Rattus norvegicus: one gene and its partners. The protein of the gene in region 1 interacts with the protein of each later gene in a biochemical or structural test. Links are inferred from orthologs where the notes say so. Each region holds a gene or a part of one and is shown in the gene's direction. Other genes may lie near its edges. The genes, in order: Mbp, Mapk14 and Cdk9.

Region 1 (10,478 bases):
AAGAATCAACGGGCACAAGAAAACTCTGAACATAGAGATAACTGGACGGAAAGCTAAGGTCACATAGAAGACTGTGACCTTTGGCTGGTCAATGCCACAAAATATGAATCCCCTGGAGTCATGACTTCAGAGACCTTTAAACAGTAAATGTCATCCCAAATGTCAGAGCCCTTTGAGTTTCTGTGCTCTTAAAGCTACTTAAAATCCCTGGCACCCCTGGACTTCTCAGAAGAGCATTTCCCCTTCGCGTCTCTGATGACCAAGCTTTCTCGGGCTTAGTTGTAGACTGGAGTTTTTTAGAAACACTCTCTGTGCCCACTTTGGTAAGATCAGATCTGGGTGTATCACTGAGGATGACACAGATCTGTTCTGTAAACGTGGTGTGGAATGGAAGGCCTCCCGGCTTTAACTTGACCAAGGCAGCATTTCTGTATGCATCCCACCACACGCATGCACGCACACACGCACACACGCACGCACGCACGCACGCACGCCCGTGGGTGGCAGATTTAGACTCCTTACCACACTGCTTGCAGGAAGGGAGGAGCCACTTTGGAGACACAGAGGCCTCTCTGTATCTCACAAATAACTGTATTCAAAAAGGACACAAAGCCCAACTGTTGTTAAAAATATTAGTATTCAGATGTGCTTGTGTTTTGTTAATGCATTTAATTCCTCACAGTATAGCTGTTGTCTTCTCCCCTCATTTGCATTCATTTCTGTCAGCTCCAGAATTTATAGCGCAACTCCAGAACCAGGCTCCTCTGCGCTCCTGCTTGGCCTCCACCTGTAAGTCATCCCTGCATCCCTGCAAACTTCACCTCTCCGCAGTAGCCCAGAGTGCCGTGTGTGCCCTTCAAACACTGTACGGTGGCAGAGCCCTGATGAGTCCAGCCAGTGGCCATGAGGAATGGTGCCAGCAAACATCTCCACCCACTAGGCCTTGCCCTGAACTGATTGGCCTATTTCCACAGGGCCCATTACGATGGCCTGTCATCCAATAGAGAGGCCTGGATGAGACCACAGCCATCCTGGTTCCCAGAGTCAGGATTACCTAGTCCCTTGTCGCCAGCAAATATTTATACTGCGAGATGGGATTGTGGCACAGCCTTGGAATAAGGCCATGCTTATCAGCTCTCCTGACAGCCATCAATGTCACTTGTGGGTCAGTTTAAAGACCTACACAGTTTTGATGAGTTTGGAAGCCTCTGGAGTGTGGGTGTTTGATTTATGCAAACTTCTGTTAACATACACTATCAAGGGCATGACCTGCCTTGGGCTTCACATCAGCTGTTCCAGAGCCAGTGACCTGTTATCCATGTGGCCACCGTATCTGATCAGAGGAGCCCATGTGAACTCCTCAACTGTGCAGTACCAGGTCATTTCAGCTGGAAACCTTAGGACAGTAACACGCTGAGAAAAAAAGGCAGCCAACTGGAGTTGGAAGTCATCTGGGGTTTCCAAGCAGGAAACGTTTTATGTATGTTCCATTTTTTTTTCTCCATCACATTGGAAGCAGGAAGCCAGCACAGTGTCACCCTGGCCCTGTCAGCAGCTCTGGTAGTGTATGGCAGTTCCTTCTGTGTGAGAACTTGACACAAAGCGCAGATGGAGAAGCAGGAGGCCTGTGCTGCACATCTAACTGTGTCCTATCTTCCTCCGTGAGTGCACACACTCGAGTTTGATGCTCACCAAGTCTATACTCGACTGGTATGAATCACGTGTCAGCTATACTAGCCCCAAAGAGCAACTGCTGAGAGCAAACAGGAGAGCCCTGCCAGGAGAGCCCGGCTACAGACTTGTCCTGGTTACCACCAAGATTTTAAGGATCGTGAATGACAGAGAGTCATTCTCAGGAAGTGTACCTCTTCCAGAACTATTTAAAAACCCAGTGTGCCCCCAGATCACTTTCTGCAGTGGTTGGTTATCTTGTTGCCCAGACAAAATACCCAACCCAGGGAACTTAAGGAGGAGAGGGTTTATTCTGGGCCACACTTGGAAGGTACAGTCACCGTGAGAAAAGAGTGGCTGTAAGAACGAGTCTGCGCGTCACAGCGCACACGCAGTCAGAAGCGGAGAGACAGACAGACAGACAGACAGACAGACAGACAGACAGAGAAAGACAAAGAGAGAGGGGGACACTGCTTGGCTTGCTTTCTCCAGTGTATTCATTCGAGGTTCCTAGCTGATGGAGCTTTATCACTGCATCTTCCCTCTGCAATTAACCTAATCTAGAAACTACACACATGTCCATAGGCCCATCTCCTGGGTGATTCTACTCGTCTCCTAGGTGATTCTAGTCATCTCCTGGGTGATTCTAATTGTCTCCTAGGTGATTCTAGTCATCTCCTAGGTGATTCTACTCGTCTCCTAGGTGATTCTAGTCATCTCCTGGGTGATTCTAATTGTCTCCTAGGTGATTCTAGTCATCTCCTAGGTGATTCTAGTCATCTCCTAGGTGATCTAATTGTCTCCTAGGTGATTCTAGTTGTGTTTCTATTCGTCTCCTAGGTGACTGTAGTCGTCTCCTGGGTGATTCTGCACATTGATAATGAACTTCAGCCAGTCACATCTCAACTCAAACAAAGACCCTCACAGGGACCATTCAGAGTAAAGCCTTATTAATCTTTATCTCATTAGTATGTTCATATTATCTAGCTTACAGAAGTTGTGCATCAAGGCTGTGGGTCCTTCACCAGGCCCGAGGCCATCTATCTCTGGAGCTCTGCTGGCCAGCTGGGCCCTGTGAGGTGGATGGAGAGATGGGTGTCAGGCTTGTGTGCAGCATTCCCTTCTTGAGAGGTAGCATGCACACAGTCTGACTGGAACGAACACCTTCTTTTGGGGAATCTGGAACCTTCGACCTCGACAGGCAGGAAGTCTGAGGGACAAGCCCCATCCCCAATACCCCAAGGACAAAACACCAAACAGTGACTTGGCAAGTGGCATTGCACGTGTGTGGCTGTGAACTTGCTATCAGATGGATTATAGCTCCCCCACCAACTGTGGTCACATCTGCTTCTTGTTGGGCTGGGCTCCATCCTCACCATGACAAACTGGGGCTATCAGTGGAGTTCTCCACGTCCTGTGGGCAGTTCTGATGATTCGTGGGGTGCTCACGATGCCCTGATAGTTACCAGAAAACACCTTAAAGGAAAGTGTCTACCACAGCCACCTTGTTTCACCCCTCTTGGCCTCTTCCTTCGCTCTGCCTCCCCAGAGTATAAACCTGGAGAGTCTGGGAGACTGCCTGCCCCCTCATCCTGGCCCAGGCACCATGTCATGTAAGAGTCTCTATGGTCTGAACTCTTGAGTTACCCAATTCTCTCTGCTCATCCGTGCTTAGGGTCTTCCCTGGATCAGCCCTCCTGCAGCTTGGATTTACTACCTCTGCCCTTTCCAAAATCAACTTTCAGCAGACAGTGACCCCATTCTGCCTTCAATCCCCCTGCCTCCTGAATTCCATCTCCCAGGACAGAGTAGCTCAGAACCTGCAGCTCCTTCCTGCTTAGGCCTCCAGGGTGTATCTGCCCTGTCACTCCAGCCTCTTTCCTCGGGCTCTAGACTGTCCATCAGCACGGGTGACCTCCCAGGGCCTTCTTGTTGGCATCTCACCTGCTGTCTGTGTTCAGTCCCCAGGGGAGAGAGCACACACATGCTACCTGACACATTACTGCACTGTGACATCCAGTGACTCAGCTGTGGAAGTCAGGAATCCAGAACTGAACTGTCTGAGAGCCGCAGGGTTCGTGAGTCCAGTCTATGGCTCCTACCTGCAGGTGGTGCCAGCATTCCTTGCTGCCCTGTGGCTGTGGTTGTGTCTCTGACTCTCCTCTGCCTTCCACATTCCTTCTCTAATATCAAGTCTCTGTGTCTCAGTTTCCCTCTCTCACAAGAACCCCAGCTGCAGGATTGCACCCACCATACTACCCATGAGCCCGCCATCTTCACCGGATCACTTCTGCAAAGACTCTATTTCCAGTCAAAGTCACAGTCACAGGCAGAGAGAGGGCTGGGATGTGAAAACATCAATTGGGGGAGGGGCGCTCAATTCTTAGCATACATTTTCTTCATCTGATCCCCCCCCCCCAGTAGAATGTAAGTTTCGTGAGAAAAGGGACCAGGTCTTGTTCATCACTATGGCTCTAACATTTAGAGAAATGCGTTCCTCCTATTCAACAAGTAACCGACAGTGGGTAGATAGAGGACCAGCACTGCATAGTCCCATGCATGGGTGCATAGTCCCATGCATGGGTTCATGTGTGCATGGATTGTTGGGCAGAATAGATAAAGAAGTGGATAGATGAATAATGTCAGGTAAATACTGCTGGGTGGACAGATGGATGGGTAAGTGGGTAGATGGATGGACAGACAGACAGATGGTAGGTGGATGGATGAATAGAATAGACAGAATAAGGATGCATGGATAAGGTGAACAGATGATGGGTAGACTGGAAGGATGGTCAGTAGGGAGAGGGTTAAATAAACGGACAAAATATTATAGGAAAGTGTGAGCTAACCAAATTTCTACAGGTCAGTAATAGAGTTGGGAGAGGAGGTTAAATTACATTCGTTTAAACCTCACACTAAGTTGAGAGGGAATGGACTTGCGGCCGTCGGTGAGAACATTGCATTTTCCATGTGCTCGGTAGTGAAGTGCCCAGGTCCCACGTGAAGCAATCTGGTTACCATGACTTGCAAGGGAGCCAGATCCAAATGCCCTGAATAAGCAGTTCCCGGAGCCAGAGCCTCCAGCGGAATCCGGGAGAGAGGAATGCTCAGTGCCCTGCTTCCCTGGACTGTAAGTTGCAGAAAGATGTGGGAAGTTCTGTTCTCCACTGAGAACACTAAAAGCACCTTTTGTCAAACAACGGCTTCACATCTGGGGCTTGTGCACCAGTGGTCTTTTAGACAGTGAGCAGCCCACAAGATACCTAACCTGCGGGGCTCTCTGGTACAGTGAGCAACTCAGGAAATGTTTTTGCTTCATTGCTGCGGGCTCTCAGGTCATCGCTCTCTGGAGTGGTTCTTTTGATAAGGATCTGAAGACAGCCCCTGAGCCACGTATACCAAGCAAGCTCAATACGGGTTAGCTCCCTTTGGTTGAGGCTATTCAAAGTGCTACGAGGCTCCTTGGGCCCTGCGCATATCTGTGCGTTTTATAGGAGACAGCTAGTTCAAGACCCCAGGAAGAAAGCGGCTTTGTCCCTCTCGAGGCCTCGCACAGGCCCACATTCATATCTCATTGTTGTTGCAGGGGAGGCAGATGCGATCCAGAACAATGGGACCTCGGCCGAGGACACAGCGGTGACAGACTCCAAGCACACAGCAGACCCAAAGAATAACTGGCAGGGTGCCCACCCAGCTGACCCAGGGAACCGCCCCCACTTGATCCGCCTCTTTTCCCGAGATGCCCCGGGAAGGGAGGACAACACCTTCAAAGACAGGCCCTCAGAGTCCGACGAGCTTCAGACCATCCAAGAAGATCCCACAGCAGCTTCCGAAGGCCTGGATGTGATGGCATCACAGAAGAGACCCTCACAGCGACACGGATCCAAGTACTTGGCCACAGCAAGTACCATGGACCATGCCCGGCATGGCTTCCTCCCAAGGCACAGAGACACGGGCATCCTTGACTCCATCGGGCGCTTCTTTAGCGGTGACAGGGGTGCGCCCAAGCGGGGCTCTGGCAAGGTGAGCTCCGAGGCGTAGAGGAACTATGGGTTTAACTGGCAGAAAGGAAGGAGAGGTGGGCAGGTGAACTGGGCCAGTCACCATGGCTGGCATGTCCCTGTGTCTGAGATACTGGCCCTGATTGGACAGTGGTGATGGCCTGGGGGAGTGGGCGAGGAGTGGGCGTGGTCGCCACTTAGCCTATGTCAACCCGTATTGCTACCTTTGTCCTTCTCACAAGGGACTGCGATTGGGTGTCACTCTGAAATGCAAGGGCCTTCTGCATCCTAAATTTTGAGGCTCCCTGGATGAGTCATTGAGACTACTGGTTCTTAAGTGTATATGCCCTATGCCTGGGGCTTCAGCCTATTCCGCCTCTGCACAGTGCTTCCCGTTTCGATCCTGATTTGTGTTCATTCTCTGCTGGGTTCAGGCTGCTAATTTCTTGCCGCTGTGAAACAATGGTCCGGTTGAGGCAAGGAGGTCTGCCGAGCAAACCCCTGCACCTCCAACAAACTTTCCCCTTTGTCTTAAGTCGTTTGGTTGGGGGGCGGGGGGGTGTTTGAATGTATGTTCAAGACAATTTGTTTGTGTGTGATTCCATTAATTTAAATATAACTTGGGTTTCATGATGTTTCGAAAGCAAATATCCTGTGAATTAAAATGTATCAGAAGATAAAACGGTGCAGGTGGTCCAGTTTCCAAGGGCAACATCTGGGGTGGACTATGCATTAGCCTGTGGGTTCAGGTTTGTGACACCAGTAACTAGTGTCAGGTGGCTGCCACCTTGAAAGTGCATGGCATCTTCTATGACTCTGTTGGATGGCCGAGCAACTCTTGGGAGAGATGTGGAACAAAGCCCTGGTTTGTGAGTAGCCTCACAGCCTGGGGATTTTTCTGTCTCTTAAGTTGTGTCTGTGTTCAAAGCCCTGGAGAACTCAAGAGGCTTTTGACTGAAGTGTGGGGCAGAGGCCTCTCCACGGCTCTAAAGCCATTGCCAGTGCAGTTTCTGAAATGCTGTCGTCTCCAGCCTCACCTTTGAGAGTGGAGATGGTTGTGAACTGCTGGATTCAATGACAGCTCTTCTGCCCTGTGGCCATCAGAGCCCCTTGGTGTCTCAGCAGCAGTCTGGCCCTCACCTGGATGTCACCGCAACTTGACTGTCACTAACACTCGGTGTGTCTAACTTGTTAACAGAATTCAAGCTGCACCAGGTCCCTTCACAGTCTGTACTTAAAGGTGTTGCCTTCAGCCTGAGACAGCAATCTTGTTTCCAATGCTAATTTACATGACAGTGGCTTTTCAAGCTGTCTTAGGGCGCTTGAGGGCTAGAGGCTCCTGACTGCCCCCCTCAGGTCTATCTGTGTAACCACACATGCACACAGCCTCACCCAGTCCATGTAGCTGGAGGAACAGGACTTAAAACTGGGTAGGAAAGACGAAATAGCTACAGGGCACAGATTCTAGAACCAGTCTTGAGGTCATGGTTCAAGTTGAAACACTGTAACGGGTTTATGTGTTGCTCCATGGCTCTCCCAGAGGGTACAGATGTGCCTCTCCATCCGCTGCTTTTCCAAGAAAAAGAAGAAATTCAAAACTCAGAAGCAGTCCAAATATTCGCCATATATAAATACATATAATTTTTTAAATTGAGATTTTTTTGAAACTTCAAGTGTCAATTTTTTGTACCATGACTGTGCTTTTTGAATATGAAGGATTATTTAAATGAATAGCCTTCATAGCAAAAAAAAAAAAAAAAGTCCCTCGGTGTTTGCATGTGTGGTCCTTATGGTCTCGTTATTATTAGCGTTTTAATTAGCATATGAAATAGGGTTATGGCATTTCCGTACAGAGTTTGTGTTGATGCTCCCCTGTGCCTCCCGCAGCTTGTTCCAAGCATAACCAAAGGTGCTTTCCTCTGGGAAGCTCCCTGCCCAGGACACAGCAAGGGTCAAGCCTTGGTGTCCAAGCCTCTTTGATTGTGGGTCCTTGGTTGTTTAGCATTGGTGAAGGAGGCTTAACTCACTCTACACCTGGCTATAAATCACAATCCCCAGAGAAGCTGCCAGGGGCAGTTACTGCCCTGGGATGTCAGGAGCATCTGTTCTATTTGTAGTTTGATGTTTGTAGAGGGGGGGGGGCAGGGCTTGCTTTCCTATACTACAGAGGTCCTTAAGAATGTTGCAAAGAATAGAGTCCAAAGGCTAGCGTCACTTGTGATGAAAGCCTGCACCCTTGATGTTATTCTAAGATAGGCATCTAACATGCATGCAGGGTGCTTGGGTAGCAGTACAAGTGCCAGCACCTGCCACTTAGAGATGCAGCTGTGTCACCTGTGTGGAAAAGGGTCCCCAAATAGAACCTGGGAGACTCTGAACCCCCTCCCTTACCCTGCAATGTAAGGTCATGTTGTCTCCTGCATCCTCCCTCCCCGGGGCACGTGGTACCTCCGTGCCATGCAGAGTCACCACCCCCAGCTCCCAGAATGCAGGGACAACACCCAGCCTTTGTGCGTTTTCCAGGCTGACATTCAAAGGCAGCACATGAAGAATGCCCTGAGAAGGCATATTCTTCTGAGACCCGTGGTGAAAAGTCCATTAACAGAGAGCATTCTCCTTTGTCCTGGGAGGAAAGGGGGGCTGTGCTGTGGGGAGGCTGTGCTCTGGCCTCTCAGGAACAGGGTTCAGGCCTTCCGAGGCTGTGAGGAGGTGGCTTTGAGGAAAAGAACAAAGACACCTGCTCTGACCCCGTCACCTTGCACCAGTGCCAGGCCCAGTCCTAGGGTAGTCCCCAGGCCTGCAAGCCATTATCTCAGAACACAAACCATAGAAAGGTTCCTCTTCCCACCAAGAGCAAGTAGCATCTCACTGGGGACCTAAGCTGATCTTGTAGTGTCACACAGGTGCCACAAGAAGGCATCTTCCATTCTCCCGGGAGGGGAGCTCTATACCTGCATTTTTTTTTCTTCTTTTTGGAGCTGAGGACCAAACCCAGGACCTTGAGCTTACTAGGCAAGCGCTCTACCACTGAGCTAAATCCCCAACCCCCATACCTGCATTTTAAATCTCTATTTATTTTACCTGAAATCTTCATTTCTAACCTGTTATAGCAGGCACCTCAATCAGTGTTCAGATGACTGCTCTGCCTCTAATTTTGACAGGATGAGATTAAGATGTTTCCCGCCACTAAGTACTGAATGTGGCAAACCCTTTAAATTAGCTAGAACGTCTTTTTTTTCCCCCGGATACTTCTCATGGCATCCTAAGCTTTATCAGATGTATCTCTTCTCTACAATACATTTAGTCTTCACTGAAGGTTGCAGATAGACTCGCCATCCATCCCGTGGAAAGGGGACATTAGAGGCCACATGAAGGACACAGCGGAAGTGCCCAAGTAATACTCCCAGGGTTCCAGTGCAGTGCCACCATCAGAGAAAGAAGTTTTGGTCATTACCTTCTGCTAACGGAGAGCTCAGGGGTCCAGGCAGAAGCAAAGAGAACGGGGACCCACATACCACTCTGCCTCTAATCCATTTGGCCAGAGTTTCCCAGAGACTCTCTGGAGAAAGTCAGCCTTGCGATGGGCACACTGACATCTGCGTCTGGGTCCTAGTTCACGCTTTTGAGACTTTTCGTATGAACCGCGTTGTAGAATACCCTTGCTTGGTCAGTTACTGGTCCCTGGTATCTAACCGTGCCTTTCTGCTGCCCCGGTTGGTCGGCACAGCCCTCCGCTGATACTTAAGTAGGAATGTGATGGGCGTTGTAAGCGTGGGAAACTATGTAAATTGTGTTTGTATTTAATGATGATCCCCTTAGGTGGTTGTACTGCAGTTTGATCATGTTGTAAACTCCCGCATAAGATAAATGTATATCTGCTTTTGTACGCTCATTAAATATTTTAACAGACCAAAGATGGTGTACTAATTGCACGTGGACTTTTTAAGTTGTATTTTTATTTCCTTAATGGCTCTGTGAGACTGGCTTTTCCATGGCTTTGAGAAACACCTACAGGTAAGTCTGGGCACTTAAGCTCTCGCCACCTCTGAAAACAGCACAGCCCCGAGTCCTCTGTCTCCACCACAGACTCGGGGTGGTCTCTCAGCATGGTGGCGCGGCATCTCACTCTTCCCCTTCCCACAGGCCCCTGTGTTTCTTGCAGTGCTCAAGGAGTGTCCAAGGAGTTGTCCTGGGTTGGTTCCTTAGTGTCCACACAGCGGAAGTGCCCAAGTAATACTCCCAGGGTTCCAGTGCAGTGCCACCATCAGAGAAAGAGGTTTTGGTCATTACCTTCTGCTAACGGGGTGTGTGGACACAAAGGAACCAACCCAGGGCACCCAGCAAACAGCTACTGAGTACCTCACTTTTCTGTTGCTGTGATGAAGTGTCCTTAGTAAAGCAACTTAAGGAAGGAAGAGTTGCTTCAGCTCACGCTTCCACCAAATAGCACACCGTGGCAGCAGGAGCCTGCGGCAGACAGAATCAGAGACTTCTTTGTATTCAGTCCAGAACACCAGCCCAGCAAACCTCTGTAGGGTGGGTCTTAACACCTCAATTAATCCTATCAAGATAGTCCCTTATAAACCCAGAGGCGTGTCTCTTTGGTGATTCTAGATTGTGTCTGGCTGGCAGTGTTAGCCATCACACGCACCATGGCCGCCCTCCTGGGCTCCCCAGGGAGGGTGTGTTCATAGGGTGACAAGGTTCCTTCCTCTGGACTGGGAGGGAGGTAGGCTCCTCTTCGGGTGATGCTGGAGGAACCTAGAAGGCCGACAAGTGAGAGATAAAAGCAAAGACCCAGTGAAT
Region 2 (10,478 bases), on another chromosome or scaffold:
TCAGACAACTTCAGTGTTTACTGTGTGTGTCTGGGGCCTGTGTTTGTCTTTTAAAGGGTCTCACTAGGTAGCTCTGGCTGTCCTGGAACTTGTGTAAAGTAGGCTGTCCTTGAATACCAGAGATCCACTTGCCTCTAACCCCCACGAACCAGGGTTAAAGGCATTTGACACAGCACCTGGCCTTTTTTTTTTTTTTAATTACTATTTAAGTCAGGCCAGCCAGAACCTTACTATTGCATCAGAGGATAACATTGGCCTCCTGTTCTTCCTGCCCCCACCTTGGATAACAGGTAAGTAAGTACCACCATGTCTGATTAATAATCCAATGAGGGGACTTGAGAGCTGGCTCAGCTGTCCCTGCAAACAAGAAGACCAGGGTTTGGGTCCTGCCATTGACATGGTGGCTCACAGCCGTCTGTAGCTTCTGTCTCCCTGGATCTGACGCTCTCCTCTGACCTCTGCATGCACCAGGCATGTACACGTGCACAGACTAAGAGATAAAGCATTCTGACCACTTTCCTCCTCAGTGCTAAAGGTTCAGGGCGAAGTCATCTCCCAACTCCTCCTTGGAATGCAGCAGGGAAGACACCAGCATCTCCCCAGTGCAGAGCCTGAGGGGGGAGGGAGGGGAGGGGGGAGGGAGGGGAGGACCACCCGTGGTTAGCCCCCACCCCTCCCCAGGCTTTACACTGGGGAGGCGCAGGCATCTTCCTCTCTGACAGGTGTAAGGAGTTCCTCAGTGAGCCACAGTGAGTCAGCACGGCCACAATTCAGGCCCTATCCCCTGTAAAACAGGTTCCTGTCTTAAAATCACATGACCTAGAGAAACACCAAGGACCCCAGCCTGGGGAAAGGTCAACTCCTGGAGAAGGTGGGCTGAGACACGTGGGGGGGGGGGAAGACTAGGTATTTCAGGGACAGGATTCAACACAATTAGAGATGATATAAGAAAAATAATTAAAAACATCTGAGTGACATCAACTTTAAACTGAGAGAAGGGAGGAGGGGGAGAGAGAAAGGGGCAAAGGAGGGGGGAAAGGAGGGGGGAAAGAAGAGGGAGGTTTAAAAGTGATCCTAGAGGAGGGCTGGTGAGCCAGCTCTGCCTGCCAGCAAGCCTAACAGCCCTGGGACCCACAAGGTGAAAGGAGAGAAACCGACTTCCACAAGTAGTCCTTGGACCTGCACCGGGCAGTGTGGCCTGCATCGATGACCACACACACAAAATAAACAAACTTTAAAAACAAAAGCCTGTTCCTAAAGGGAGCCGAGTGTGGTTGCACAAGCCTGTACCCTTGGCACTTGGGACACGAGGCGGGAGGATCAGGGAGGGTTCAAGCCTCTGTTACACATCCAGCTTGAGGTAAACCCAAGCTGTATGAGATTCTCTATCAAGGCAAACAAACAAAACCACAAACCAAATAAAAATCATCTCCTGAGTAACTATTTCTGGGGCAGTCCAAAGTGTGTTAAGAAGCTGGGGAAGCCTAGTGAAGTGTTGTACACCTTGAATCCCAGCACTCCAGGGACAGAGGCAGGCGGATCTCTGAGTGCTGGGCTGACAGCCACAGTGAGAGCCTGTCTAAAACACAGAAAGAGAAGCAGCAGCGGAGAACTGGGGCCCTGACCAGAGCAGCACGAAGGGTGCCACAGTGTACACCACTCATCTTTCTTGTCTGCTGTTGATTTTGAGACAGGATCTCATGGAGCATAGCGGGCTTTGACATCGCCTTCCTCCTGCCCCCGTCTACCCAGTGCTGGGTTATAGGTGTTGAAAGAGCCGTATCTCTCGCTCCATGAGCAACCTTTATGAAACTCTAGTTCTACATACAGTGTGTGCCACCACACATGCCTTAATTCTTTTGTTTTTTTCCTTCCTGCGCTGGAAATCCATCTGAGGGCCTAACATGAAAGGCTGCTGTCTTCTGAGCTGTAGTCCCTGTCTTTATCTCCCTCTGCTAAAAATACTCGAAAATAGAAGCATGTTAACCCAGCTCTTTCACTACTGCTGCCTTCAGCCATCCACCTGTCCATCTGTCTGTCCGTCATTTATCCATTTGCAGATCATTTACAGAATCTCTAATTGGAATATTTTACATGCAAAAAAATGTAACTTGATTTATAAAATGTTGACCCAACGGGCAGGAAACCCAGAAAATTAGTTAAGGTGCAAGAATTTTTTTTTTTACCTGATTTAAGTCCTCTTTCACGTGCTTCCTAAAACCATAAAACAAAACTCACTTCCAACTAAAGCCCTCCTTAATGCTATACAGCATGATACCAAGGGGCTGTGTTGGAGAGACATTCATGACTGGCTTGAGGGAGGACCCAAACCACAGTCCCTAAGGACCAGAAGACACAGAAGGGGGCGGAGGGGGGTAGGGTTCAGCCAGAGAAAACAAAATGAGCAAAACAGTAAGGGTAAGCAAAAGGGGCTCTGAGCCTAGGACACGATAGGGTGGAAGTGTGGCAAGGCCCACAGTCCAGTCCCTTCAGCTGCTGATAACACAGGGGCGAGTTTGAAAGGATCCAGTGTGCAAAGACCATCTTGTCTCTTGCCAGTGCTGTCTCTCACGCAGCCTCTCTATAGGAGACACAAGTTCCAGGGACCACCGCCATTCATTCATTTATTCATTCACTCATTCATTCCAGGGACCACCGCCATTCACTCATTCACCCACTAGTGCTTGGGACTCTCCTAGCTCTGCAGGTGACCCAAGCAGCCATGCTACGGGAGGCGGCAGGCAGGGCTCACCTGGTTTCCGGTGACCGGCAGGAGCGCAGACGCTGGGGACAGACTCGGCTCCAGCCTGGCTGGCGGCGGTGCTGCGGACGCAGAGGCCGGCAGTTCCCGAGCCGTTGCTGCAGAACCCGCCGGCGTTCCGGCTGTGCGGGTGACGGGCGAGGACGGCATCTGGGCGAGGAGAAGGGGTCTCTGGCTGCCCTCCACAGACCTGGGCCGGGACCCTTCGGATCTTCCAGAAACAGGCACGAGAATAGGAGTTCCCGGTCCTCCTGCTCCGCGTAGGGGTGGGTGGATGTGAGTTCTTACGGGTCTAACTTTCCCCGTTCACTTTTATTATCTTTTTCTCGGCTTCTACGGAAGATTCCACTAGGTGGGAATGGAGGGCTGGGTTTCCCTCGTGGAGACTAGAACCGGGGCCTAAGGAAGCTCAACAGACTTGTCTTAATAAATGTCCGAAGCCCTCGTCGTTTCCCCAAACTTCCAAAGGCGTGGATTCTTTAAATTTCTCATGAATTATGTCTTTAAAATCCTCTCAATTTAAGTTCTTTTTTTTTTTTCTTCTTTTTTTTTTTTTTTTTAAAGATTTATTTAGCCGTCTTCAGGCACACCAGAAGAGGGCATCAGATCTCATTACAGATGGTTGTGAGCCACCATGTGGTTGTTGGGAATTGAACTCAGGACCTCTGGAAGAGCAGTCAGTGCTCTTAACCACCGAGCCATCTCTCCAGCTCCCTCAATTTAAGTTCTTAAAATTCTCCCAATTTTTCCTTTAAATTTCTAAATTTTGGATGGTTCTAAATTGGCAGGAGTCGGTCTCGAACCGGAGTCATGGGCTTTGGGGTGTTCCAGATATGGTCTCATAACAGCCCAGGCAGGTCTCTTAACTACTCACTATATAGCAGAGGCTGGTCTCCTGGTCTTTCCAAACGCTGGAATTACAGGCTACGTAAATCTAAATAAATACATCAAATATATGAGAAGGGTCTCTTGGTCTTTCCAGATGCTAGAATCACAGGCTGTATAAATCTAAATAATTCAGTAAATAAATAAAATCAAATACATGAGACGGGTCTCCTGGTCTTTCCAAACGCTGGCATTACAGGATGTGTACATCTAAATAAGTAAAATAAATGAGAAACTTTCCTGAAATGGAATGACCTACCTGCAGAGAGAGAGAGAGAGAGAGAGAGAGAGAGAGAGTGTGTTTCCCTTCCAGTCATGGGTATCGAACCCAGGGCCTTGCAAACGCAGGTCTCAGCCTCAAAGTGGCCATTCCTGACGTCCACCTCTGACCTTGTGCATCGGACTCCCTAGTGGGTCCCTGGAACCTCCTCCTACACCTTCCACGGTGGTTCTTCTGGTGAGGACATTTAGAAGCTGCTAGGAGCGTCCGGCGGGAGGGAGAGCCTGGGCTTTGAGACCGGGTTAATGTTTGCCTGGGTGGGGAGGGGGACAGGTTTCATCAGCGTCCCGAGATAAGCCACGCGTCCTTGAGCGGATGGGAACGCAACAGCTTTCTGGACAGGGCCAGTCTGCTCTTGCAAATCTTTCTTGGAAATCGCCGGCTCCGGTGAGCAGGTGGCTCGGAGCTCAAAGACCGCTTGGCTCTCTTTCCCCCCCCCGACGCCGTCCCAGTGGTTTTCCGCCACGGCGCCGGGCATTCGCCGGTCCGACCACAGAGAGGCGCGCGCGGCCTACGCTGCGGTCCGCCCCCACCCTCGGCGCCCCCCGGGAGCAGAGTCTCCCCTAGAGTTCCTGCCTCAGCTCCCGGAGCCGTGTCTCTCTTCTCGCGAGATCTTCCCGTCCCGCGCGCTCTTCTCGAGCACCCCCGCCCCACGGGCAGGTTCCATATTGGGTAAGATCTCGGCTCGCGGAGCTGTTCTCGCGAGAGTCCTGCTAGAGCCTCCCCGGCCGCTGCCTGCGGGGAGAGGGGGGAGATCGCGGCCACTGGAGCCCGAGCGGGCGCTAGAGCGCGAGCGGCTGTCGCGCAGCGTCGGCGTGCGCTCCCCAGGGAGCGGCTGCAAGGGGACCGCGGCGGGAGCTGCGTCGAACCGTGCAGCCGGCTCCCGCTCGTTGCCGAGGCTCGTAGGTGCCGCCGCGGCTGACAGGAGCCGTGGGTCGCAGCCTCCACACCTGCGCGGGCGCGGGGTCGGGTCTGCCGCGGGCGAGCGAGAGGGCGCAGAGGAGAGCGTGCGGCTGCAGGCAGGGGCCCTCGCTCGGCCACCTCGTCGCCGCGCTGCCGCCGCTGGAAGATGTCGCAGGAGAGGCCCACGTTCTACCGGCAGGAGCTGAACAAGACCGTCTGGGAGGTGCCCGAGCGATACCAGAACCTGTCCCCGGTGGGCTCGGGAGCCTACGGCTCGGTGTGGTGAGTGTCGCCGGGCTTGGGGTTGGGGGCGGGGGTGGGAGGGAACGTGGTGGAGCAAGCAGGGTGGCCCTGCATGCCTGAGCGCCAGGCCTGTCCCCACAGCTCAGCGATGCGCCCAGCGGCAGGAATTCTCCTGCGGGCGTGTCTTGGGGGTGCAGGGGGCAGTTGGAGCGGGACGTGTCCTGCACCCCTCGCCCTGCACACTCAGGTGGGTGGGGAACCGTGTGCGGGATCGGGTCAGCCGTGGGCGCGGTGTGATGGGGCTCCACCCTGTGCTCTCCATGCTCGCAAGATCGTTCCTCCCGGGGGTCCCTCTGCAGCCGTGCGGCCTCTGGACCCTGCCTCCGGGTACCGCCACTTGGCACGCAGGAGCCCTGCCCCGGGGAGCGGGCGAGCTGGGCGCAGCTCCGGCGAGGAGCAGTAGGTCAAAGCCTGACCCGGGGACTGCGGTCACCTGAACGAAACTTGCAAGAAAAAGCGCTCCCTTTCCCGGAATTTTTTTTTCTCTTTCTCAGTTTTTCCCTCCCATTTAACCATTTTTGCAAGCTTCGGTCGAAAAACCCAGAATCGGGAAACGTTCTTTTGGGATTCGCACCTGAATTAGCAGCACCCCGAAGGGCTTAAAATAATACCGACTTTATCTCGGGGACCGCGGGGTGCCAGCTTGCCGTGGTGTGTTTCCGATTCGGTTGAAAGCGTATTTCCTTTTCGGGGAGGGAGGGTGGCAGTGCCTGCAAGGACGCTCCAGCTCTCAGCTTAGTCACACAGCGCTGCTCAGTTCAGTATTGTTTGACAAAACCAGTTTTCCATACGGAGCCAGAGTGGTTCTGATCTGTTGGGCGCCCCTCAAAGATCAAAAAGGTGGGACCGAGTGCTGGAGTTGTAAATGGTTTTTAATTGGGATGCTTTTCTTTCTTTAAGCCCCTTAGAAGATTTGCAGGGGGCTTTAAGCTTGTAAGCACCGAGGCACATGGGGGTTTTTCGGGAGAACCTGGCCGCAGAAAACGATGCCTTTCAGCTTTCATTAACACTTCGGCTTTTTGTTTGAGTTCGTTTGAGACAGAGTCTCACTATGGATGGCCCTGTCTGGCCTGAGCCTCAGTGGCTAGACCAAAGCCTGGCCTGGAACTCAACAAATTTTGTCTCCTGCCAGCGCTGAGAATAAAGGCATTTGCTACCACACAAGGCCCTGGGAGCAGGTTTCAGATTAAATTTATACAGTCAAAGGTCCACTCCAGAAATGTCAGGGACTTTCAAGGATTCATATAGTCTCATTTATTGGGACTCAGTGTCAGTTTAGACCTCCCTATCTGAAAGTAAAGACCAGACTCAACAGACTAGACTCTTCTGCGTTTTAGTGATTTATATTCACGTTTCCCTGAAAGAGCCTGTGAAATGTTTTTTTTCCCCCCCTTTGGAACAAATTCTAGGCTTCTGGATGTGTTAATCTTTAAGTATGAATCCTGTGTTACTTAAAGTCACATCGTGAATTTCCTGTTTGGTAGAATCTTCCTGGTAATTGCGATTGTGCAACCATGTCCGGCAACAGATCATATTGCGTTTGCTCGTTGGAGCTGCCTAGGCTGTGCTGCTGATAGCACCAGCCCTGACCTCTTTCCCCCAAGTTTACAGACTGGCAGTTTGCATTTTAAAGGGGATGTCAATAATTTACATCCCGTGTTTGTGATTGGTTTGTTTCTCTAGTACTCACCAGCTCCCTCAGTATCTCCAGTCTTCATTGCTCACTGTTACAGCATCAGGCTTTTGTCCCCATTTGGATGCTTGGGAAGGATGGAGCAGAACTCAGGGCTTCTGGGAGAGGGAACTTGCAGGGTTTCCTAGGGCCACTGCTGCCCTGGCAGAAGAGCCAGCTTTACAGTGACTTGCCACAGTGAAACCAACACCACTTCCTCTAGTGCTGTTACTTTCTTGCAATGGGATTGAGCACAGCCTCCCAATGAGATAGACTTCTACCAAACAGTTTCTTTTTTTTTTTTTTGGTTCTTTTTTTCGGAGCTGGGGACCGAACCCAGGGCCTTGCGCTTCCTAGGTAAGCGCTCTACCACTGAGCTAAATCCCCAGCCCTTACCAAACAGTTTCTTGAACATAGGTAGTGCTGGCCTAGTGATGTAACCATGGCACAGTCCTGGCCTTACACTGCAGCAGTGCACAGCACAAAGCAGGTCGCTTGAAATAAGGGTCAAAGAGGTCTGCAGCAAAAAAAAACAAAACAAAAAAGAAAAAACCCTGCTTTCAGCCCTGCCTTCTAGTCTGTCAGTTCCTTGCCTGTCTTCCAGAGACACAGACATTTTTTTTTTAAATTTTTAACATTTATTTATTTATTATGTATACATCATACAGCTTTCTGCCTGCATGTATGCACCTGCAGGCCAGAAGAGGGCACCAGACCTGATTATAGATGGTTGTGAGCCACCATGTGGTTGCTGGGAATTGAACTCAGTACCTCTGGAAGAGCAGACAGTGCTCTCAACCACTGAGCCATCTCTCCAGCCCCCAGGGATTTTTTTTTTTAAAGATTTGTGTATGTGTTACATATGAGTACACTGTCTTCAGACAGACCAGAAGATGGTATTGGATTCCCTTACAGATGGTTGTGAGCCACCATGTGGTCACTGGGAATTGAACTCAGGACCTCTGGAAGAGCAGTCAGTGCTCTCAACCACTGAGCCATCTCTCCAGCCCACTGAGCCATCTCTCCAGCCCCAGACATTCTACCTTAGAGATTTATGTAGCCTATCCATGAGGGAAAGATAACTGAAACTGTCTGTGACTGAGCAAATGTCACCTCCAGTCAGATGTATAGGCGTTACCGCTCTCGGGTTACTTGAAATTGTTTTCAATTAGCAGCTTTTTAGATGCATCTGAAAAGCACCTTTTGGTTTGTTTGTTTGTTTGTTGGCTGTTGTTTTTGAGATGGGCTGTCCTATAATTCACATTGTAGACCAGGCTGGCCTCCAACGCAGATCAGCTGGCCTCTGTCTCCCAGAGTGCTGCAGTTAAAGGTATGCAAGACTATACCTGGCTTCTTGGATTTCTTTTTTAATCCACTTTGAGGCCTGTGTTCCCTTTCTTCTTCATCCTCTGAGATGTTGGAGAATAATGAAGTCCACTTGAATGGAGATAATAGAGGGGGATTTAGACTGAAGTCTTGAGGAGAGAGAAGGCTGTCCTACTGCCGACTGTAATAAGTTGTGAGGGACCTGAGGTCTCTTCAAGAAAGGAATCCCTGAATGGGACATGATATACAGTGATTTGTAACTTTCTTTTTTAAGATTATTGGTTTTTTTTTTTTTTTTTTTTCTTTTCTTTTTTTCGGAGCTGGGGACCGAACCCAGGGCCTTGTGGTTGCTAGGCAAGCACTCTACCGCTGAGCCAAATCCCCAACCCCGATTATTGTTATTTTTATTTGTAGTATTTAGTGAACAACGGTAAAAAGAAACAACAAGAGATAAACTGTAGTGTTACCAACTGTAAATCAGAGATGAATAAGTCAATCAGTCTGGAAATGTGAGAATTGGTATGGTTTGACAAATATCTTTCTTTTTAAAAGTGTAAAGGGAACTAAGCTAAGTTCTCCAAGTTTTAAGGAACTTTATTCACTGCCTGAAAAGGGAAACAGGCGTTAAAGACCACATTGTTGCAAAGCATTGATTGTGTGGTTTGGGGCATGGGGAAAATCTTTGTGGTGAATGTAAGGAAACTCAAACAGGAACGTGAGTGCCTCCTCTGGGGAGGCCTCTCTCCAGCCCCTGGCTGGGCCCACTTGAACCCATGCCTTGGGAGTGAGCGTTAAGAATTACTTCTAGGTCATCCATAGCCATTTAGTCATTAGTGTGTACCGCACACCACCAAGTAGTGGCTGGGTTCTTGAGATGAGTACAGAACAAGACAGCTCATCTTGTCGTTGGACGTGTAGGAGAATGGATGGGTTTAATAGCTGCCTTTTATGGGTGGCTTACTGTGTTGTAGACATGGTGACCCATAGTTTATAATCGGCATGTAAACATGTAACAAACCTGTAGCTAAACATGGTAATTTCTTCTAAGAAACTAAATCTGATTTAGCATAGGACAAGATTATTCCAGTAAATATAACAAAAATAAACGAGGCCTTTTCTTTTTTTTTAGTGTTAATTTATTTTAATGAGCTAGGGTAAAAAGAAAACTCTGTGATTAAGTATGAAAAGATGACCTTTTTCACTCTTGACGATTGAGAAGGCTGCACCTTCACTATTAGCTGTAACACTCGCTGGGCTCTCTCCCTCCCCTTCCTGCCTGTCTTCCTGCTTTCCTTCATGACAGCTTGTTGGTCCTGAACTCCTGACCCACTGTCTGAGGCGCTCTAATGCTAGGATCACAGGAGTGGGCCACCAGGCTGCTTTCAGCTGAGCTGTCTTCCATTTACTGTCTTTGGAACTAAAAGTAGACAACTTAGCTGGGTGTTACCAGCCTAAATAAGAAACACGTAAATACAAATAACTCCCAGCCATGAGTTTGAGACCAGCCTGGCCTCCAGAGTGAGCGCAGTGCCCTATCTTGAGAAAAACAATAAATAGACAAAAGTGCCCAGAAAACATGATTACTGGCAAGAGGGTGGGGGGTATTTAGCTTTATTTATTGTTATTTGTGTGATTGTTTGATTTGAATTATCTCTACACTACAGTGTGCTTGGTGCCTCGGAGGACAGAAGGGGGCATTGGATCCTCTGGAATGGGGTTACAGATGGTTGTGGCCACCAGAAGACCTTGCCAGTGCTTATAACCACTGAGCATCTCTTCCCCAGTTACTGCAAGGGTTTGTATGGATAGAGGAGAAAGAGACTAACTTAAGAGTTGAATTCCGTTTCCCACTCACAGTGATCACTGCCCCAGGCCTCTCAGTTCTGCCACTTGCAGTTTTGAATATTCTGTTTTGACTTCTCTTTAATTCAGCCTCAGAGATGATCTGAGTCGGCTTTGCCTTCTGTGGGCAATGTTGGCAATTGTGCTAGACCCCTAAAGCTTAGTTAGGGCTCAAATGTCGAGGAATCCTGGGCTCAGTCACTTTAGTATTAACTGGCATTTTAATGTGATTTTTTTTTAAGTTTATCAATGATTTTCATTTAAAGCATTATCAATTACTCCCTTTCCAGCTCCACGTAGGCAGGTTTTACTCCTCTCTCCTCCTTTTGCCTCGTTACTGATTGAGCCCAGGGACTGGTGCATATCCAATGAGCTGCACTCCAGCCCCGAGGCTGGCATTTTTAGCCTAGTTCAGTAGATGAGCTGGGCTTATTTAAAGGAGTTACATGCTGTCAGAGCTGTTGTGGTTTAGTAGTACAGGGTCCCAGCACTTGAGTCGCTCCTGG
Region 3 (10,478 bases), on another chromosome or scaffold:
GCACCACCACCACCCAGCTATGGAAGGTGTTCTTATTCAAACCACTATACTAGGTAAGGTCAAAAGCTGGAGTTCCGCCGGTGGCACAAACCTTTAATTCCAGCATTCTGGGAGTAGTGGCAAGTAGAACTTTGTGAGTTCAAAGTTAGCCTAGAAAAGCACTCTGAGGCTTTCTATTTTATTTTTCTGAGACAGGTTCTTGTTATGTGAACAGCCTATCTCAAACCTACAGAAATTCCCCTGTCTCGGCCTCCTGAGTGCCGGGATTAAACATGTGTGCCATACCTGGCTTTATTTTTTTCATTCTTTAGACAAGGTCTCACCGAGGCTCTAACTGGTCGTGAACTTACTCTTTAGCCCAGACAAGCCCTGAACTTTGAACTTTCCTGCTTCCGTTTCTTTAGTAGCTGGCTTTCCAGTTTTCTGCCACTGGGCCTGGCTTCCTTAGCTCTTAAATGGCCATACAAGAGACTCCTGAGGGGTGTCATGAGGCGGCCAGTCAGCAGGTGTTGACAGAGGCCGGGTCACACGCTAGGTCTTGGTGGTTTAGGCAGTCCACAGGAAGCAGGCATTATTTGCAACCCACAAAGCAGTAGCCAAAGTGAATTTGAAACGACTAATTTCTCCCTGGTTCCCTCCTGGATTTTCCAGTGGTGGAGAACCGGGACTCCAGAACTGGGCAGCCTTCCAAAGCCTCCAGATTGCCATTGCTTCCCTGTGGAGGGGCTGAGGGCCCAGGACTCTAAGGAAGTGACTGGAAGATGTCAGGGCTCTTGTTGGTGGCAGAGGTGACAACATCACAGGAAACCCTGCGAAAGCCTCTCTGCCCACAGGATGTGACTTAGGGAGGGCTCATGAGAAACAGACACCAGCTACAGCCTAAAAATCTGATTGTAGCATCCACACAAGTCATCAGTGCTGCTGTTACCTGCCACATTCCCCAGGAGCCCAAGGCAGGTGAGAGCACTCCCAAGTTTCACCATGGTTTCATGCTGAGCCCAGACTGGGAGGGGCCTTGACATGAGGAACTGACCTGGTTCAAAGCTAGCGTGGCCACTGGCTGTCTGGGTAACCATGGCCCACTCATCTCACCTCTGAGTGTCAGGGTCCTCATGTGCAGTGGAGGTCAGAGTGGTGTCCCCTGCATCTGACTGACAACAGAAATACCTCCTGTACAGGCTGAGTGCAGGGCTAGCCACTTTCTATCATTGTAATTAGTGTAATTACTCTCTCCTTCTTACTCCTGGCTCTCCCCCACCCCCTTACTTCTTCAGATAAGCAGTGTATCCATGAAGGTAGGCTCTGGGTCACTTCCTTGGCTTGATTTCCTAAAGCCCTGGCTGGCTCTATGAAGGGTCTTGAGAAATCCTCCTGGCAGGACCCTTCTCACAGCAGGTACTCGGGGACACCAGGCTCATCAAAACCATTCCTCCTTCCAAGAACCTTCAAGCCCAGACAGTGTGGCATAAAACCAGAAAGCACTCCCAGACACAGTGACGCCTAGAGCTGAGGCAAGAGGGATGTCTGGAGTTCAAGGGTCAGCCTAGACTACTCAGTGAGCACCAGACCAGTCAGGACCTGTCTCAATCAAACAAGAGGTGAAAACAAACCGGAAGCCTGCAACTGACCCCCGAGAGTGGGGTGGCAGCTCTGAAGACAGGAGGGATCAGGGGGCTGGAGAGATGGCTCAGTGGTTAAGAGCACTGACTGCTCTTCCAGAGGTCCTGAGTTCAAATCCCAGCAACCACATGGTGGCTCACAACCATCTGTAATGGGATCTGATGCCCTCTTCTGGTGTATCTGTGTACTTAAATATAATAAATGAATAAATCTTAAAAAAAAAAAAAAAAAGAGGGATCAGGACACTGAAACAGAAGGCAGTTTGCAGGACCACAGCACAGAAGGGAAACACTGGAAAATCAGACACGCCTCACTCAGAATTTCAAATCGGTTCAGGGAGACATAACAGACTGCAGAATGATCTGGAGCAGGTTGGAATGGAACCAGTGAAACGAGGCTAGGGGAAGCAGGACTCCATCAAGGTGTCCATCCTTGAGAGGGGTGCTGACAAAAAGGAGGGGACTGAGAAGGTAAGAAGACAGCTGTGTGGACTTGTCTCCTGGGGATGGGAAGGTGATTGTGGGAAAGGATAGGCCTGGAAGGGTCTTAGGGTAACAGTGTTATCCAGCCTGTGTAAGGTCAGCAGACCTCAAACACACTAACAATGAGGCATGACAAACTCTAGAGCCAGCCTTATCATAGTGTGACCAGGAGCAGACAACCTCTGATTTCTGATCTGAGATTTCTTCTGTAAAATGGGTTCATATTTTTTTTCTGTAAAACCCAGTTCACATGTTTGTTTCAGAATGTCCAGCAGATATCTCTCTCTCTCTCTCTCTCTCTCTGTTATTATTTCCTGGTTGTCCTAGAACTCACTCTGGAGATCAGGCTAGCCTCGAACTCAGAGATCCACCTGCCTCTGCTAAGTGCTGGGATTAAAGAGGTGCGCCATCACTACCCAGCTCATGCCCAGCATTTCAAAAACGCGCAGGAGTGCCTGTTCAATTTTAACCATTTTTGGGATGATTGACGCAGGACAGACCAGCTTAGCCGCAGCTCTGTGAAGGAAGGCAGTAGATCCATCCTTGCCTTCCTGACCACACAGGATCCAGGGTTTAGGCCTGAGCGTCGCCGCGCCCCCTGGCGGCCGTCAGTTGCCATGTCAACGGCGGGTGGCTGAGACGGCGGAGGCGGCAGCGGGGGCAGTTCTCTCTTCCCCGGGCCTCAGGCCGCTCCCTCGGCACCTCCTGCCTTCGCCTCACTGGGAGCACACTCCCAGCCCTGGAAGAAGGGCCCTTCTGTGGCAGCTGGCATTAGGGGGGTAAACTGAGGCACGCAGCAGGGCGCCGCAGGCAGGTGTCTAGTGCGGAGCCCCACCTCCAAACGCAGAGGAGGGGCTGCTAGCAGTGACGCGCCGAGGGCGGACGCTGGACTGGGAGCGGGAGGGCGGGAGGCGGCGGCGGCAGGTGCGGCCGCGGAGGGTGGGAGGAGGAGGGAGGGGGCGGGAGGGGGAGGGGAGGCCAGGACGGGGACCTCCCCCTTTATAACGCGCCCCCTCCCGGGCTCTCGGGCCGCCTCCTCGTCTGCTCTTGCTATCTCGCCCCCTTTCCTGGCCGCCCCGGGCCGGGTTTGGCCAGGGAGCCCCCGCCCCCAGGCCTTCCCCACACCCCCACCCGTCGCCCCGCGCAGCCCGGCGGAGGCGGCGCCGTCGGAGGAGGAGGAGCAGGGCACTGCGGCTGGCCCCGGATCGGGAGCCAGAGCGGCAGCAGCTTCGGCAGCAGCACGGCCCGGGCCAATGCAGCGGGACGCACCGCCACGAGCCCCAGCCCCAGCGCCACGGCTCCCTGCGCCCCCGATCGGGGCCGCCAACAGCACTAGCGGCGGCGGCGCAGGCGGGGGCAGTGGCGGCGGCGGAGGCTCCTCTGCAGCTCCGGCTCCCCCTGGCCTCCCGGGAACTACAAGTCCCAGGGGGCCTGGCGGCGGGCGGAGACCGGAAGAGGCGGGCTCGGCACCTCGAGGCCGGAAGTGGCCTTGGAGGCGGAAGTGGCGCGGCCGCGGAGGGGCCTGGAGTGTGGCGGGACCGGGAGCGGCGGGAGCTGCGGCTGGGGGCGGCGGCGGCGGCGGCGGCGGCGGCGGCGCGCTGGAGGCGGCCATGGCCAAGCAGTACGACTCAGTGGAATGCCCGTTTTGCGATGAGGTCACCAAGTACGAGAAACTTGCCAAGATCGGCCAAGGCACATTCGGGTAAGATTAGGCCGCGTGGGACCGGTAGCCCAGGACCTGCACTTTCCATGGCCTATATCGGGTCGTTCAGGGCCGGGGCCCGAGGTGGTACGGAAGCTTCTATTTCCTTGATTGTTGCCTGGTCTTGCTAGGCCGCGCCGCAGACGCTCCCGGCCTAACCGAGCGGACTGGCAGGGAGGAGCCTGAGGCCCGTGATGGGGGTTGGGTAGGGTTGCTGAGAGGAACTCAGTTTGTGAGCGGACACCTCTGGGGGGAGGAGTGGGAGCCGAGTAGGAGTAAGAGCAGGGGCTGGGAGAAGGACAGAAAACACGTGGTGTGGAATAACAGCTTACAGGAGTCCCGGGCCGCACCCCACCGTGTGTCTGGTCTCCCGCTGCTCCTCTTCGCGTGGGGGAGGGGCGGTCCCTGCGGAAATGCCTGATGGGTCCCTCGGGTCTTTGTGTTGCAGGGAAGTATTTAAAGCCAAGCACCGTCAGACCGGCCAGAAGGTGGCTCTGAAGAAAGTGTTGATGGAGAATGAGAAGGAGGGGGTGAGTATATGGACCACTGGGCAGTTCTTCTAACCTGTGCTCGGTTTCCACACTGCTACTTAAAAGGGTTTTGTGCTGAGATTCCACCCAAGTATTTTTCGATTTTCCGTGTGACAAGACATTTGGCTTTCCACTTAGACTTTTGAGTTTTTGTGGCAAAGTTCGGTGGGAGGCAAGTGAGGGAGCCTGTGCTTTGCGTGAAAGTGCACGTTGCCTCTAGAAGTGGGGTTTTTGAAAACTTCCAGCTTAGCGTCGAATTTTGTTTTGTACGAAGGGACAATTTGTGCACAGGCAATTTAAAAGGCAGCTTAGCTTAAGGCGTGTTTTGAAGCATGATGTCCCCGTCTTAGCTTTAGTACAGCGTTTTCTTTGTAAGGAAAAAGCTGTTTGACTATTTCCTGTCTATGCGTGTCTTGTTTTCTGGTGTGGCTGTGTACAGCATGCCTGTCTGGTACCTGGGCACCTGAGGAGACCATGCTAGGCTGCCTTGGATCACTTGGGACTAGAATTAAAAAGATCCACCATGTAGAGGCTGGGATTGAACCTAGGTCCTCCGGAAGAACAGCCAGTGTTGTATGTGTGTGTGCATGCATATGTGTATGTCTCCCTGAAATAGGGACTCAACATAAGACTTGTTTAATACAAAAATCTCTCAGTATCCCAGCTGTTCTCAGACTCGCAGAGGGTCAACTGCCTGTGCCCGGAGTGCTGGGAATAAAGGCTTGGGCTGCCACTCTTAGCCAGGACTGGTTTGCTTAACTATTCATCTATCTCTGGACCCAGGGAATTTCTTGATTTTAACCCACAAGCATTAGTGCCAAAGATTTTGTCCCTATTTGAGTTGTCTAAAATAAATTCCTGGCCCAGCGTAGAGGGCTATGATTGTAGTTCCAGCATTTACGAGGCCAAAGAAAAAGGATGGTTCACAAGTCCAAAGCCGCCATTGTCTAGATGGCAAAATCTAGCAGCTCCTTGAGTGAGATGTGTGTGTCCTTTCACTTACCTTCTGCTTTACAGAGACTGGTTGCAGATAAATATATTTATTTTCCCCTCAAGCAAGAGCTCAACTAACCAGACTGGCCTTGAACTTGGGACAGTTCTACTCTCTATTTGACTCCTGATAGTAGGATTGGATTCCAGACAGGAACCGTCTGTCACACAAAAACTATACTCTTACCTGCCTTTCAACCTCTGTCCCTCAGTATAGATCACACACACACACACACACACACACACACACACACACACACACACTTTTACTTCATGGGTCTGTTGCTCTCAATTTTGACCACTTCCTCTCTTTCTCCTCCCTAGTTCCCCATCACAGCCTTGCGGGAAATCAAGATTCTACAGCTCCTAAAGCACGAGAATGTGGTCAACCTGATTGAGATTTGTCGAACCAAAGGTACGATGCTCGTTCTCGGGATAAAATGAACCTTAAACCTTTGCTTGCACTCCTGAGGTAAATGTGCTTAATGCCTCCTCCTGACTTGACTTGATCACACAGCTTCCCGATCTGTTTTGTTTTGAGACAGGGTTGCCCTGTGTAGCCCTGGCTGTCCTTGACCTTGCTCCATAGACCAGGCTAGCCTCACACTGCCTCTGCCTCCCTAGTGCTAGGGCTAAAGGCATGCACCACCAGTGACTGACCACCAGCTTCTCCGGGCTTTCTCCGATGGAGTTGGGTGTTTGTGGATTGGAGGGCTGGGAGTTGGCTGTGGAAAATGAGGTGGGTGCAGGTTTTTTATTTTCCCTCCCACCCTCTCTCCCTATTCTGCACCAGCTTCACCCTATAACCGCTGCAAAGGCAGCATCTATCTGGTGTTCGACTTCTGTGAGCATGACCTCGCTGGGCTGCTGAGCAATGTCTTAGTGAAGTTCACGTTGTCTGAGATCAAGAGAGTAATGCAGATGCTGCTGAATGGCCTCTACTACATCCACAGGAACAAGGTGAGGCCTGGGGCCGGGACAGACTGGGGCTTCTTTGCTCTTCACTGCCTTGTGGGTGGGTCTCTGGGATACTATGAGACCTGACCGAGCTCTCATGCGTCCTCCCTGCAGATCCTGCACAGGGACATGAAGGCTGCCAACGTGCTCATTACCCGAGATGGGGTCCTAAAGCTGGCAGATTTTGGGCTGGCTCGCGCCTTCAGCCTAGCTAAGAATAGCCAGCCCAACCGATACACCAACCGTGTGGTGACATTGTGGTACCGACCTCCGGAGCTCCTGCTCGGTGAGGACTCCCGAGCGGGCAGAGGGGGGCAGGGGCCGGGTACTTACCTGGCCACAGCCCCCGTTGCCGGGGGCCTCTTTAGCCATCAGCCTTGGGACCTGGAGTCTCAGGAGGCCCTCGGGCTTAAGAGGCACTCCCGGTACCCTCTTCTTCTCAGGAGAGCGGGACTACGGCCCGCCCATTGACCTGTGGGGTGCTGGGTGCATCATGGCAGAGATGTGGACCCGCAGCCCCATCATGCAGGGCAACACAGAGCAGCACCAGCTTGCCCTCATCAGCCAGCTCTGTGGCTCCATCACTCCAGAGGTACGTGACCAAACTGGGTGATCCTAGGGGGCCTGCAGTGGAGAGGAATCTGATTGGTGGGAAGCCATAGGCCTGCTGTCCAGGGTCTTGTGGGTGCTTCTCCCTCCTAAGCCTGTTGGTTTTGTGGGCTCTCTGTTTCTGTGGCAGAGTACCTGAGCAAAGCAAAAGCGCCAAGATTTGCCTTTGTTGAGAAACTTCAGCCTGTGGTTGTTTAGCCTTTGCTTTGGTGCAGAGACGTTGCTAAGTGTCACAGCAGAGAGTCCACTGGAGAGAGTAGGTGTGGTCATGGCAGGGAAGAGCAGAAGAGCAGGGTCCAGTGTGCAGCTCCAGGGGTGTTAAGCCCACTGACTTAACACTAGGCTTCAGCACACATTCAGCGAGCCTCAGAGGATACTTTTTCCCTCTTGGGTTGTCCCCTTCCCCTCTCCCCCCAAGTTTCCACCTCCCAATAGCGTCACCAGCAGGAGATCAAGCTTCAACACAAGCTTTTAGAGACAAAAGTACCATGAGATTTTTGTTTTGTTTTAAGATAGGAGTGTGCGTGAACAGGGCCTGGCATCTTTATTCTAGCTGACTTGTGTAAGCTGTCCAGATGCTAGGAGTATACTACATCCAGTGACTGCTGCTTTCAACTTGAAGACTTCTGATTCTCCTTGCAATGGAGAGGAAGTCAGGGAGCCTCTGAGAGAAGTTCTTTTAGAAATCCAATCCCCTGGTGTCTTAGCATTCTTCCCTCCAACTCCACTCTCTCCTTAACGTCTCTTAGGTGTGGCCAAACGTGGACAAGTATGAGCTGTTCGAAAAGCTGGAACTGGTCAAGGGCCAGAAGCGGAAGGTGAAGGACCGTCTGAAGGCCTACGTCCGGGACCCCTATGCTCTGGACCTCATTGACAAGCTGCTGGTGCTGGACCCTGCACAGCGGATTGACAGTGATGATGCCCTCAACCATGACTTCTTCTGGTCGGACCCCATGCCCTCGGACCTCAAGGGCATGCTGTCTACTCACTTGACGTCTATGTTTGAGTACCTGGCCCCACCACGACGGAAGGGTAGCCAGATCACCCAGCAGTCCACCAACCAGAGCCGAAATCCCGCCACTACCAACCAGACGGAATTTGAACGTGTCTTCTGAGGCTGTCGCTGGCCGGTGTTCTTAGGTTAGGGGTGGATTGCTTCTGCTCTGACTTGCATGAACATGTGACATGATGGGACGTTTGAGATTTTCTCCTCCAGTACATATCAACTCCACCCTGGCGCTGGGAACAGCTGCCTGAGTGGACTGGGGCAGAGCATTGGCTGCAAGCCCTGAGGGTCCTGGGGCTGTCCTGCCTGCCTCTCTCTGGAGGTCTCAGCATGGATACGAAGTGGGGTGGGAGAAGCTCACCCACTGTGACTTTTAAGAACTCCTGTGTGATGGGAGGAAGGTACAGGTTCCTCACCATCCCCAGCCCTTCCTCTGGATGAGGATGTGAAGGACAGAGGCATCTCCAAAATGGGCTACTTTTGGTATAGACCTTAGGAGTGTGGGGCTGGTGTAAGCTCTTGGTTCCTTTAAAAGGAGAATTTTATTTTGTTTTGTTCAGTTTAGACATTCCTGGATGCAGTTTGATTGGTTAAATTAAAAGTTGATTTTTTTTTCCAGTACATGCCTGTGTTTCTTGTGTTCAGACCCTCCCTCGGTTCTTGTCCTACAGCTAGAGGCTAGGGTGTGGTCAGCCAGGATACTGCTGGTCCTGCTTCCTTACCACCTAATACTCTGTAGATGTTGGGGTTTGCCCTCCATTCCTCCTGGTACCTTCCACTGCACTCCTCACCCCCAGAAGGCAGGTCCACAGGGCCCAGTGTTGGGAAGTGTCTGTTGTAAGCTGCAGCCTCAGTGAGCTGCTGGGCCTGGGCTGCTTAGGTTCATAAATCCTCAGACTGGACTGAAGCAGGGAACTGCAGACCTCCAAATCACTGCAGTGACAGGAGTGACTAGTGTAGCTTGTAGCTCCAAGGCTTGGGGGAAGCAGGACAGAAGTGACCAGAGCAGGCAGGGTCAAGGTGGGGGTGGGGGGGTGGGTTATAGCATGGGTTAGGGTGACAGTGAGGGCAAGAAGGAAGGCCAGTGTGGAGATGGGATAAGGACATGGTAGGGACCCTTAGAGGACTAACCTAGGTGACAGATTACCCAAGAGTTTAGTGAGGTTCAGTAACATCACAAAGCTGTCTGAGAAGGGCAGTGTTAGTCCATTAGCTCCGGGAGCTGAGCGTCCAGAATTCATGGCGGATTGGCAGAGTTGCTTCCTCTGGAGTTCTCTGGGACAGTCGATCTTCAGGTCTCTCCAGCTCTGGTAGCTGACACAGCTTGGCCTGAAGATTTTGTATTCTTTTTTTCCTTGCATGTCTGTACACTGTGTATCCCTGGTACCCAGGGAAGCTAGAGAGGAGTGATGCCCCTGGAGCTGCCACACATGCTGGGAACTGAGCGGGGTCCTTTGGAATTGCAGCTGGGGCTTTTTTTTTTTTTTTTTTCCTTCGGAGCTGGGGACCGAACCCAGGGCCTTGCGCTTCTTAGGCAAGCGCTCTACCGCTGAGCTAAATCCCCAACCCCGCAGCTGGGGCTTTTAACCACTCAGCCATCTCTCAGCCCTTCCAGACAAGTGGTCATTAGCTCGGATGTCCAGAACTGCAGATCTCCCTGCTTCCTCCTTTAGGGAGATAGGATTACAGGTGTGTACCACCATTTGCATGGCAATCTTGATTCTGAAAAGCATTCCTTATCGTTTTTGTTTCTTTGTCTATGAGGACATCCATTGTTGGGTTCATAGCCCCCCCCATAACCCCCTCTTAATCAGTCTGCAGAAACCTTCCCGCCCATGGCCCTGCCCACTCTGGTCGCATTCCTAGAACGTGATTGGAGAGGACATCATTCAACCTGCTATAACTAGAAGTTAGGACAGTCTTTGTGGCTACCAGGGGGTTCTCAAATGCCCAGTGACAGGAAGACAAACTAATAGAACTGTTCTGTTTCAGAATCTCTTCCCTCAAGTATTCAAGGGATTCATCCCTTTGCTAGAGATTGGACCCAGGACATGCAAGTGCTCTACCACTGAGCCACGCCCAATCTCGGTTTGTAGTCACTGATTCCTCAGAAGCTTCCTGGAAGTCACTGCGTATGATAGATCTATTGTTGGATTCAGTCCTCCCCACAGCCTACACGACTCTCCAGTCACCATTTTGGTGTGTTTCATTTTTCTAGTAGGTTCCAATTACTCTGATGGAGTAGGATCTATTAAAAATCAGCAAAGGGTGGGGGAGATGGCCCAGTCAGTAACGCGCTTGCTTCACAAACACTGGGGCTGAGTTTGACCCTCATCACCTACATAAAGGACAAGCTGCGTGAGCACAGTGGTTCCTTTTAAGCACTAAGGAGGTGAAAGGGGGGTTCTGTGGCTTTCTGGCCAGGTACCCAGGCTGAATAGGTAATTTCCAGGTTCACTCTGGTATCCACACACTTGCACACACATACACATGAGCATTCTACATACAAGCATGCGTGTGAACATTTGCATTCATTACAAAGTCATGGCCTCAAAATGCAGAAAGAGGAACGAGCAGAGTAG

Evidence for each region.
Region 2: of the proteins of Mbp (region 1) and Mapk14, one has a biochemical effect on the other in vitro, tested with the Homo sapiens proteins (4 studies listed by BioGRID). The link is inferred for Rattus norvegicus from reciprocal best matches to the Homo sapiens genes MBP and MAPK14.
Region 3: of the proteins of Mbp (region 1) and Cdk9, one has a biochemical effect on the other in vitro, tested with the Homo sapiens proteins (2 studies listed by BioGRID). The link is inferred for Rattus norvegicus from reciprocal best matches to the Homo sapiens genes MBP and CDK9.

Annotation. Positions count from the first base shown.
Region 1 is NC_086036.1:78,204,805-78,215,282, forward strand, and holds the start of Mbp (myelin basic protein), read left to right. Parts: upstream 1-5,517; coding exon 5,518-5,694; coding exon of another isoform or gene 5,695-5,712; exon of another isoform or gene 5,713-6,354; intron 6,355-9,608; exon of another isoform or gene 9,609-10,478. UniProt on the Homo sapiens protein: The classic group of MBP isoforms (isoform 4-isoform 14) are with PLP the most abundant protein components of the myelin membrane in the CNS. They have a role in both its formation and stabilization.
Region 2 is NC_086038.1:6,746,684-6,757,161, forward strand, and holds the start of Mapk14 (mitogen-activated protein kinase 14), read left to right. Parts: upstream 1-4,675; 5' UTR 4,676-4,995; coding exon 4,996-5,111; intron 5,112-10,478. Other genes in the region: Slc26a8 (testis anion transporter 1), read right to left, coding at 2,753-2,911. UniProt on the Homo sapiens protein: Serine/threonine kinase which acts as an essential component of the MAP kinase signal transduction pathway.
Region 3 is NC_086021.1:36,392,207-36,402,684, reverse strand, and holds Cdk9 (cyclin-dependent kinase 9), read left to right. Parts: upstream 1-3,668; 5' UTR 3,669-3,712; coding exon 3,713-3,804; intron 3,805-4,252; coding exon 4,253-4,334; intron 4,335-5,648; coding exon 5,649-5,739; intron 5,740-6,117; coding exon 6,118-6,284; intron 6,285-6,395; coding exon 6,396-6,567; intron 6,568-6,724; coding exon 6,725-6,873; intron 6,874-7,639; coding exon 7,640-8,005; 3' UTR 8,006-8,517; downstream 8,518-10,478. UniProt on the Homo sapiens protein: Protein kinase involved in the regulation of transcription.